2 linked regions of the Caenorhabditis elegans genome follow. The protein of the gene in region 1 purifies or fractionates together with the protein of each later gene. This does not show direct contact. Each region holds a gene or a part of one and is shown on either strand. Other genes may lie near its edges.

Region 1 (3,825 bases):
TGTTGCAGCGACCTTATGGGAAGCCCTATTTTCAACACGCCGTGAGGACCAAATGGAAATCTGCATGTTTCTAGGCTATAACAATATTCAATGGTTCGCTTCCCGTATTCTCATTTGATTTCATTAAAGGATTGAACAATTGCGTTCGGCAAATGTAAGTTTGACTAAAAGTAAATTGAAAAGTAGTTTTTTTCAGGGAAACACAAATTATTTGTACAAGCACTGGTGGAATGTGTAGAGATCATATGGATAAAATGACCGAATGGATTTATGATAAAACTGAGAACGTTTTTGTATAATTCTATGACTTTTATTTCCGTTCTTGGTTCCGAACACATAAAAAACGACACGTTTTTATAACAATAAGTTTACACTTTGTGAAACATTTAACATGAAAAAATCCGGTTATCCAAACGGATAATTTATGTTGAAACCGTATTTTAGGGAAATTTTATGAAATGTTATACAAGATGAAGCACATTCAAGTATACAACATATTAGAAAACAGCAATACAAAATCTTCATCAGAATAAAGAAACAAATCAATAGAACACTTTTAATAGACATATCGTTTACATGCTGCATATCGACATGTTTGATAGGCACAGTTGCCCATTCTCATGTAGGTTGCATACCCCATCGGATTGTTCAAGATAATCTGAAAACAACAAACATTGAAAAAAATGCCGTTTCAAAAAAATTAGTACCTGTCCCTGGCTAGTATAGTCGGCCGGCTCAGCTGGAGCGAATCCCTGAGCATAGTCAAAAACAGTAGAGTCATCCCATTGGAAGTATCCACGGTCCGAGTTATAAGTTAGCCCAATAATAATGTTGTCTCTAGCTGTCGCGGTAGAAACCCAATATGAATTCGCTTGGACTCCAAGACCTGAAAATTCGAATATAAGTACATATATAATTGATTTTAGCGCAAAATCTTACGGTTAATGAAAGCAGCTTCTCCTGCATTATGAACAGAAGCCAGTGTTCCTCCCATGCTTCTACAAGTGTTCATAGCATTATAATAGGTAGTGTTGGAAATAATCTTGAAACAAGCACATGTTGGTGGATAGTACTCCCATCCGGATTGGCATGGAACAAAGTCTGAAATGAAGAGCCAATTAATAAATTTGGAAATCCTCCAGAAAAATAACTTACTCAAATACTTTTGAACACAGCTCGGAAATCCACTTGGTTTTACAGTTGTGGTGAGCACTGGTTTCGGGGTTGGTGGCACAAGGTCAAATTCGCACAGTACACTGTGAGAATCTGGGCATGGCTGAGCATACCAGTATCCGTTCATTCCAATTGTGATGCAATAACCAACGTTTACACTGAATGGTTCTCCTGAAACAAAATGACTGGTGAACAAAATGTTCAATTGAAAGCTTTTTGAACTTACCAACTGCAAAGTTTGTGTAGATTGGTGGTTTTCCGTCATCTCCAACAATATATGTTCCATCAGCTACATATTCGAGCCAAGTGTGCCAATTAGCATGTACTACAATAATTCAAATGTATGTAGATAAAACGTTTTAAACTTACATTGAACTTGTTCAGTGACAAAGTTATTCTCAGCATACGTGAGGGGTGTGGTGAGTCTGGCATATGGTCCGTATGTCTTCCGGCAGTAGGCAAGGGCATTATCCCGAGTCATATCCATGCCAAGAGCTGCGTAGCATCTAAACAAATGTATTAACAGTGCAATTCGAATAAGAACGGATTCTCACTTTGCGTTATAGATTTTTGTTCCAGTTGGGCAAGTTAAAGCATTTGTGCAGTAAAACACAGAAGCAATAAGAGAAATTACAAAAATTAAGTTTTGCGACATTTTCGAATCGAGCGATATCAATGCCTCCGATGACGATTTTTATACAACTGTTATCAGTGCACCATAATTGCATGATGATTTCAATTTCCGAATCGTCATTAGGGAGTTTGGTCTTTCTTGAAATACTTTATCGCGGTTTATGAAAATGTCACTGATTAATTAAAAATGATAACCTTTTGGAAATAATTTGGAAGCAGCATTTGTAGTCGTATTATCAAGAAGTTATATTTAAACGGAAATTATTTTGCGGTGGTGGTCAAAAGCATATTAGTGTTTGATTGTTTGCTGATATTTCATTGTTTTCAAATAAGTATACAAACATATAAATCGTTGCATAATTGTGCCCGCATCGACCAAAAAACTTAATTTTTATTCGATTGTCATCTTTAATTGCATATTTTGGCATTTTACTACGTGTTATTTTGTTAATTGAGATGCGTTTTTGGTACCATAATTGTGCCCGCATCAACCAAAAAACATTTCGATCAACAAAATAACACGTAATAAAATGCCAAAACATGCAAAGGATGACAATCAAATAAAAATTAAGTTCCAACCGCTGCGACACTGAAAAGTTATCAAAAATTTGAGATTTTAGCTAAAAAGGGCCATTTTTTTCCAAAACTTTGAGCGCCCATAATTTTTTTTTTTGAAAAATTTTCAGAACGTCTGGTTACGAAATTCGGTAGGTTTGCGTCATTTTGTGTCTAAAACGCAAAGTCTCAAATTTCGGTACTCCACCTCGGAATTATTTGCTTCCATCGGTCGAAACTTCTTTGGTTTTCCGATTGTGCTCATGTTCACGAGACATCAGTGGGAGCCAACACAGAGTCCTTTTTGTCCTTTTTCGCTTGTCTCCGGAAAATTGCGTTGCCATATCCATAGATTTACTCTTTCTTCCGTCGTTCCTCCAAAATCAGCTACGATTCTCGCCGCAAATCCCGTTGTTCTCCTTTAACGCTAGAATTCAAATCTATTGCTGCAACAAAGACGAATGACACAAAAATTCATTATCCAGGAACATTACCGCGAAATGGAAAACAACATTTCGAAATTCGGTACTGATTTAGATATTTACCTTGGATCCGACGGCTTATACCGAATCAGAAAAAGAGTTCACTCGTCAATGCTTCCAAGAGAATCATCACATGAGCCAATCGTCATCCATCACAAGTATGCTCTGGTAGAAATCATCATGAGAGAAACTCACGAGATCAACAGCCATCTATTTTGAAAGGTAATATATTTTTCCATTTACTAGAGACATTGCACAGTTGTAAAACATATCAAAGAGCGAGATGAGAAAATTAGTGGATGTAAAACATATTGGACTTGTTGCTTTGGAAATTAGGGAAAGAACACAAGGATAGACAATTGAAAAACAAATATTTAGATCAATGATGTTGATAACATTGATATTTCACGAAAGCATCGACCATTTTCAAACAAACTGCCTTCACACTTCATGACGTCAGAGCAAATCGAATGAGCTGTGTTCTGTAAGAATAAAATTTGAGAAAGTTGTAAAAAAATAATTTAAAATACTTCTCCGTGGAAAATTTTTCCAATCGCTTCTGTGACTAGGATCGTATTTTGAATGTTTTTGAAGCAGTGATCGCCATTCTTAGCGCAAAGGACATGAGGGAGAACCTTGTTGAATTCCTGGATAAACTTCGACAACTCCTGAAAATTCGTAATGTCAAATAAGGTAAAGTTTTCGAGCAAACGTTATCTTAAGAAAAAATGCTCACCTTTTCACTTAATTTGAACACGCGACTACACGAGGAACAGCTCCAGACTGAGGTTGGCAACCTTCTTCCATTCGTAGTCTTGAAATACTTCCATAAAAAAACATAAATACACAGTTATTTTTGTTTGATGTTTATTTGGCTCTAGCATCTTTTTTTAGTTTGGCCCAGAAATATTAACTTGGATTAGAAACTAGCTGAACTTAGGAAAAAGTTAGGCAAGACTTTGGCAAAACTTGGATGCAGGCT
Region 2 (4,700 bases), on another chromosome or scaffold:
ATAATTGCAAGAAAATCGATTTTTCGATTTTTTTAAAAAGAAAATTTTTTGAAAAAATTCGATTTTTCTTCTTTTTTTCCGGAAAATCACAAAAAAACTTCAGTTTTTTAGGGAAATTTAAAAAAATTAATTTTTCGATTTTTATGAATTTTGGAATAAAAAAAAACCCACTCAGCATCAATATTAGTTGGCAAAGTTCGATGTACTGATATCATATCAGATGCGTATTGATTAAAAGCGTTGTTGAGCATTCCCTTGTCGTATTTTGCCTTTTCTTCGGTCGATAGTTTCTGAAAATTAGAAAGAAAATAAAGTTTTTTTTTTTCGTTGATTTTAAAGGCAAAACATCAAAATTTCGAAAAAAAAAGAACTAATTTCCACTAGAATCTTAGATTTTGGGGGCCGAAATCGGCCTAAAATGACCTAGAGTGGCTAAAAAATGATCGCGAATTGGATAAAAATGACTAAAAATTACCCAAAATCACCTAAAAATTACCTAATGTGACCAAAAAAAAAAATGAAAATTCGGCCAAAAATTACTAAAATTTCTAAATTTTGCTAAAAATACCTAAACGGACCAAAAATAATCAGCAGTCGGTTGAAAATGACTACAAATTACCGAAATTGGCCAGGAATGTCGAAAATATTTCATATTTAAAATAACTTGATATTTAAAATATTTTAGACATCATTTTTAATCATTTTTGGCCAATTTTCGAAAATTTCCGAGCACTGAAGTGATTAAAAATGTCTGAAAAATGACCAAATTTGGCCCAAAATAGGCGAAAAATGACCAAAAATGACATAAATATTTAAAATATTAAATATTTTAGAAATTTTTATTCATTTTTGTCCAATTTCAGTCATTTTTGGTGATTTTGGACCAAATTTGGTAATTTTTTAGTCTTTTTTTTAATGACTAAGCATAATCGAAAATCGGCCAAAAATGATTAAAAATGACCGAAAATATGTACCGTATTTCTTCTATTAATATGGCTGCAATAATATTTTTCGATGGTCTTCCGCTTGCAATACTAATAGGGAGTGCAAGACTATTAGGGAGTGCAATACTAATTTTCAGAACATTTTCTGACTTTGAGCTTACTAGTTTTTTTCCTGAAAAAACTCGAATCTTATGTGAAAATTCAGAAAATTTGATTGTAATTGCAACAAAAAGGTACAATAACTTCAATTTCATAGAAATTTTACCAAAATTGTTGCAAAGTAGGCAAAAAATGTTGTTAAAATCTCAAAATTAGTAGGGTGGGTTTGTACCAAAAAAAAAAAGTAGATGCAAGACTATTAGGGAGTGCAACACTAACTGCAATACTAATTTTCGGAGGGTTTTCAAGGAGCAATACTAATAGGGAGTGCAAGTCTAATAGGGAGGCCATATTAATAGAAGAAATACGGTATATTATATACATTTTAATCATTTTCGGCAAATTTCGGTCATTTTTAGTCATTATTGGCCAATTTTCGGCAATTTCCGAGCGCTGAAGTGACTAAAAATTTCTGAAAAATGACCAAATTTGACCAAAAATGATTAAAAATCGGCCAAAAATGACAGAAATTGACCAAAAATGACCAAAAATAACCAAATTTGGCCTAAAATTAACTAAAATTACTTAAAATGATGGAAAATCAGCCAAAAATCAGTAAAAAATGACCGAAATTGCCCTAAAATGATTAAAAATCTATACGGAATATTTTCATTTTTAAAATCATTTTTGGTAATTTTTGGCCAATTTAAGTCATTTTTGGCTCATTTTTTTCGCAATTTTGAGAATTTGAGCACATTTTGAGTCCACAAGTTCAAAGAACCGTTATTCCTCAAGAATAATCAAATTCTCACAGTTTTATCGACGACAACTGCCTTTCCAAGCTCTCCGGCTTGCGCTGCGTCTCCTTTTTTATAAATCGGATCGTTCGGATCGACCATAAATTTTGGTTTGGCCAAGTTCCCGCCGGGTTGCTCTTCTTCTTCCACTTTATTATTCTCTACGACAGGTTCCGGCTCAATCGGCGGCCCAAATCCTTGAATTACGTCTTGTTTCGCGGCTTTCGGGTGGAAATTCGCCTCCGCAATTTTATTCGCGAGATCGTTATTTGATCCGATCTGAAAATGGGATTTTAATCACATTTTTATTTTTTTTATTTTTGATTTTTGATACCTGGCTACTATCATTGCTGGTTGCTGCGAAAAAAATCAACGAGCAAATCCAAAAAACTGGAACCAAGAGGAGAACTTTTAATATCGCCTTTTTCTTGAATATAATCATTTCTCAGCGGCAAAATCGACCCGTATCTGCAAAAAAATTAATTTTTGATTAATTTAATTGGGAAATTTCTCAAAATATTTCGATTCAGCTCAGTAAAAACCAGTAAAAACTAAATTTTTCGACAAAAACTCCAAATAAGGACACATCGTCCACGTGTAGTACACGGGTGGTGACCTAGAAACCGACAACTACGTACTACACGTGGACAAAATCGGTGGAACATGTTTTTGGCAGGAATATGATGGAAAAACTATAATTTTCAGGAAAACTAATAAATAGCAACAAAAAAATCAATAGAAATTCGAAGAAAAATCAATATTTTCTAGTTTGACCTCAAAATGATCAAGTTTTCAATGTTAAAACAGATTTTTTTAGTTAGTTTTTTTCTTTTTTTTTCTTTAATATTGTTTAATATGACACTTTTCAGATTTTTGCGTCAGAAATACAGATCCAGGTCTCGACACGACAAATCCTTGTACTCATTGAAGGTGTGCGCCTTAAAATTAATTTTTCAGCTTTTTGAAATTTACTTTAGATATTTGATAATTTAATAGATTTTCATCGAAAAACTAAAAAATCAATAAAAATTCCGCAAATGAACAAGTTTGAAATTACAGTACTCTTTAAAGGCGCACACCTTTTTTCAAACATTTGTCGTGCCGAGACCCAGGGTACCGTAACCTACCGAAAATCCTCCGTTTTATGCTTCAATATCCCTCAATTTTGATAATATAAGTTTGCTGCCTGAAAAAAAACGAATTAAATTGTGAAAAGTAGTAGTAGTATTGGAAATTCGAGTAAAACAAGGAAATTTATAATGCAAACTTTTTCGGACCCAAGGCATACTGAATTCAAATTCACATTAAAAATTTTAGGTTGACGTGGACAATGACGATGAGCAGCAGCATGCAAGGCATGTTAACGATAATATTTGAACAGTTGGGAAGGGAAGGGAAGAGGGTGTATAAGAAGAGAGCATAGAACAGAACCACTATCTTTTTTAGCTTCTCTAATACCTCTTACTCTCTCTCTCTCACACTATATTTACTTTTTTCGGTGGTTTCGGTCAAGTTCAAATGTGCTCGAGAACTGTAATGTTTCAAGTTCGCAATGAGTCACGATTTCGATTTTCCGTGTATCCTAGAAATTTTGTGAGAGAAATAGTTTTAAATGACTCCCTGATTCCGAATATCTAAGTGAAAAAATTCTAAAAAATTTCCCTGATATTATATTTCAGCTTAAAATCGCGATGTGTCGATTTACGAGATTTTCAATATCTTCATTTTCGTCGCTTTTTTCCAAAGTTTCGTTTTTTAAGGTCAATTAAATATTATTTTGCCAAAAAACTAACAAAATTTCCATTTCTTAGGTCAAAACTCGACGAATTCCACGGAATTCTGGCTGTTTGCCGAACTAGGCCATTTTGGGTCGGAGAGATTTTGTGTAGATTTACGGCGCGTTGCGTGTCGCGTCGCGGCTCGTTTTAGTTGTAAAACTGAAGTTTGCTGTCCGTGAGGAGTACACGACACTTTTCCACGCGCTGTCCGGCAGGCGATTATCAATGGAGCGCGAAAATTCAATGAGAAATGCCCAGAACCCCGTGGACGAAAAATCCAAATATATGCTTTTCCCGCCTAAAAATCACAAATTTTGTTAGTTTTTTTAATGATATAACAAAAAAAGTGACCTTAAAAAAAGCACAGTTTTTTTTTTCACTTAAATATCGGAATCAGGGAGTCATTTTAAAATTGTTCTAAAAAGATTTCGATACTCCACATTATAAAATTTTTTACGTCAAAAACATCATTTCCCCCTTATCATCCATCTTACCATTCACACCCATTTTGCTCAAACAGACGCCCACGCCCTTTGCATACTTCTCAAATGGAAACTTCTATTGATAGTGAACCCAGAAGACAAAAGAGAAACGTGGTCATAACTGGGGGGAGTTGTTTGCTGGTTAGAAGAGCCCCGGACGTGCTCAATTGAGCATGACGAATAGGTTGGAGAAGAGAATGTCAGAGACACCTACTTGTAGTGAGAGGGGAACGAAAATGTCTATAGGCTAGGCTAAACTACAAATCATCTTATTTTTTCGATTAATGAAGAAAAAAAATATTTCGAAAAGGGCTTATGTTTGCAATTTTACTACAAAAATTCTGGAATTTCTAGGAAAAATGAGAACGCGAAAAAAAATTATTTGAAAAATTCATTTGGCGCGGTGAGACCCTTTCCAAAATTACTTTGTGCGAGCGCCTTTAAATTGATCTTAGAAAAATTGTTATTGTTTTCTTATAGTTACTAAGTAAGTAAGTAAGTTCTACTCGGTCACAAATTAGCTATAAAAATCTGTAAATTATAAGAAAATTTGAAAAAAAAACATTATACAGTAATCTTAAAGGTGCATACACAATTTTA

What was found. Proteins that work in one complex are often made in the same cells at the same time.
Region 2: the proteins of clec-265 (region 1) and gly-5 fractionate together in Caenorhabditis elegans (co-fractionation; one large-scale study listed by BioGRID). This does not show direct contact.

The regions. Positions count from the first base shown.
Region 1 is NC_003284.9:3,029,799-3,033,623, reverse strand, and holds clec-265 (C-type lectin domain-containing protein), read right to left. Parts: upstream 1,842-3,825; 5' UTR 1,829-1,841; coding exon 1,728-1,828; intron 1,680-1,727; coding exon 1,543-1,679; intron 1,499-1,542; coding exon 1,400-1,498; intron 1,345-1,399; coding exon 1,156-1,344; intron 1,102-1,155; coding exon 940-1,101; intron 887-939; coding exon 708-886; intron 659-707; coding exon 557-658; 3' UTR 507-556; downstream 1-506. Other genes in the region: M02F4.2 (Nucleotid_trans domain-containing protein), read left to right, coding at 75-154, 197-299.
Region 2 is NC_003281.10:13,185,718-13,190,417, reverse strand, and holds the start of gly-5 (Polypeptide N-acetylgalactosaminyltransferase 5), read right to left. Parts: upstream 3,027-4,700; 5' UTR 2,968-3,026; intron 2,309-2,967; 5' UTR 2,283-2,308; coding exon 2,175-2,282; intron 2,120-2,174; coding exon 1,856-2,119; intron 291-1,855; coding exon 172-290; intron 1-171. UniProt on the Caenorhabditis elegans protein: Catalyzes the initial reaction in O-linked oligosaccharide biosynthesis, the transfer of an N-acetyl-D-galactosamine residue to a serine or threonine residue on the protein receptor.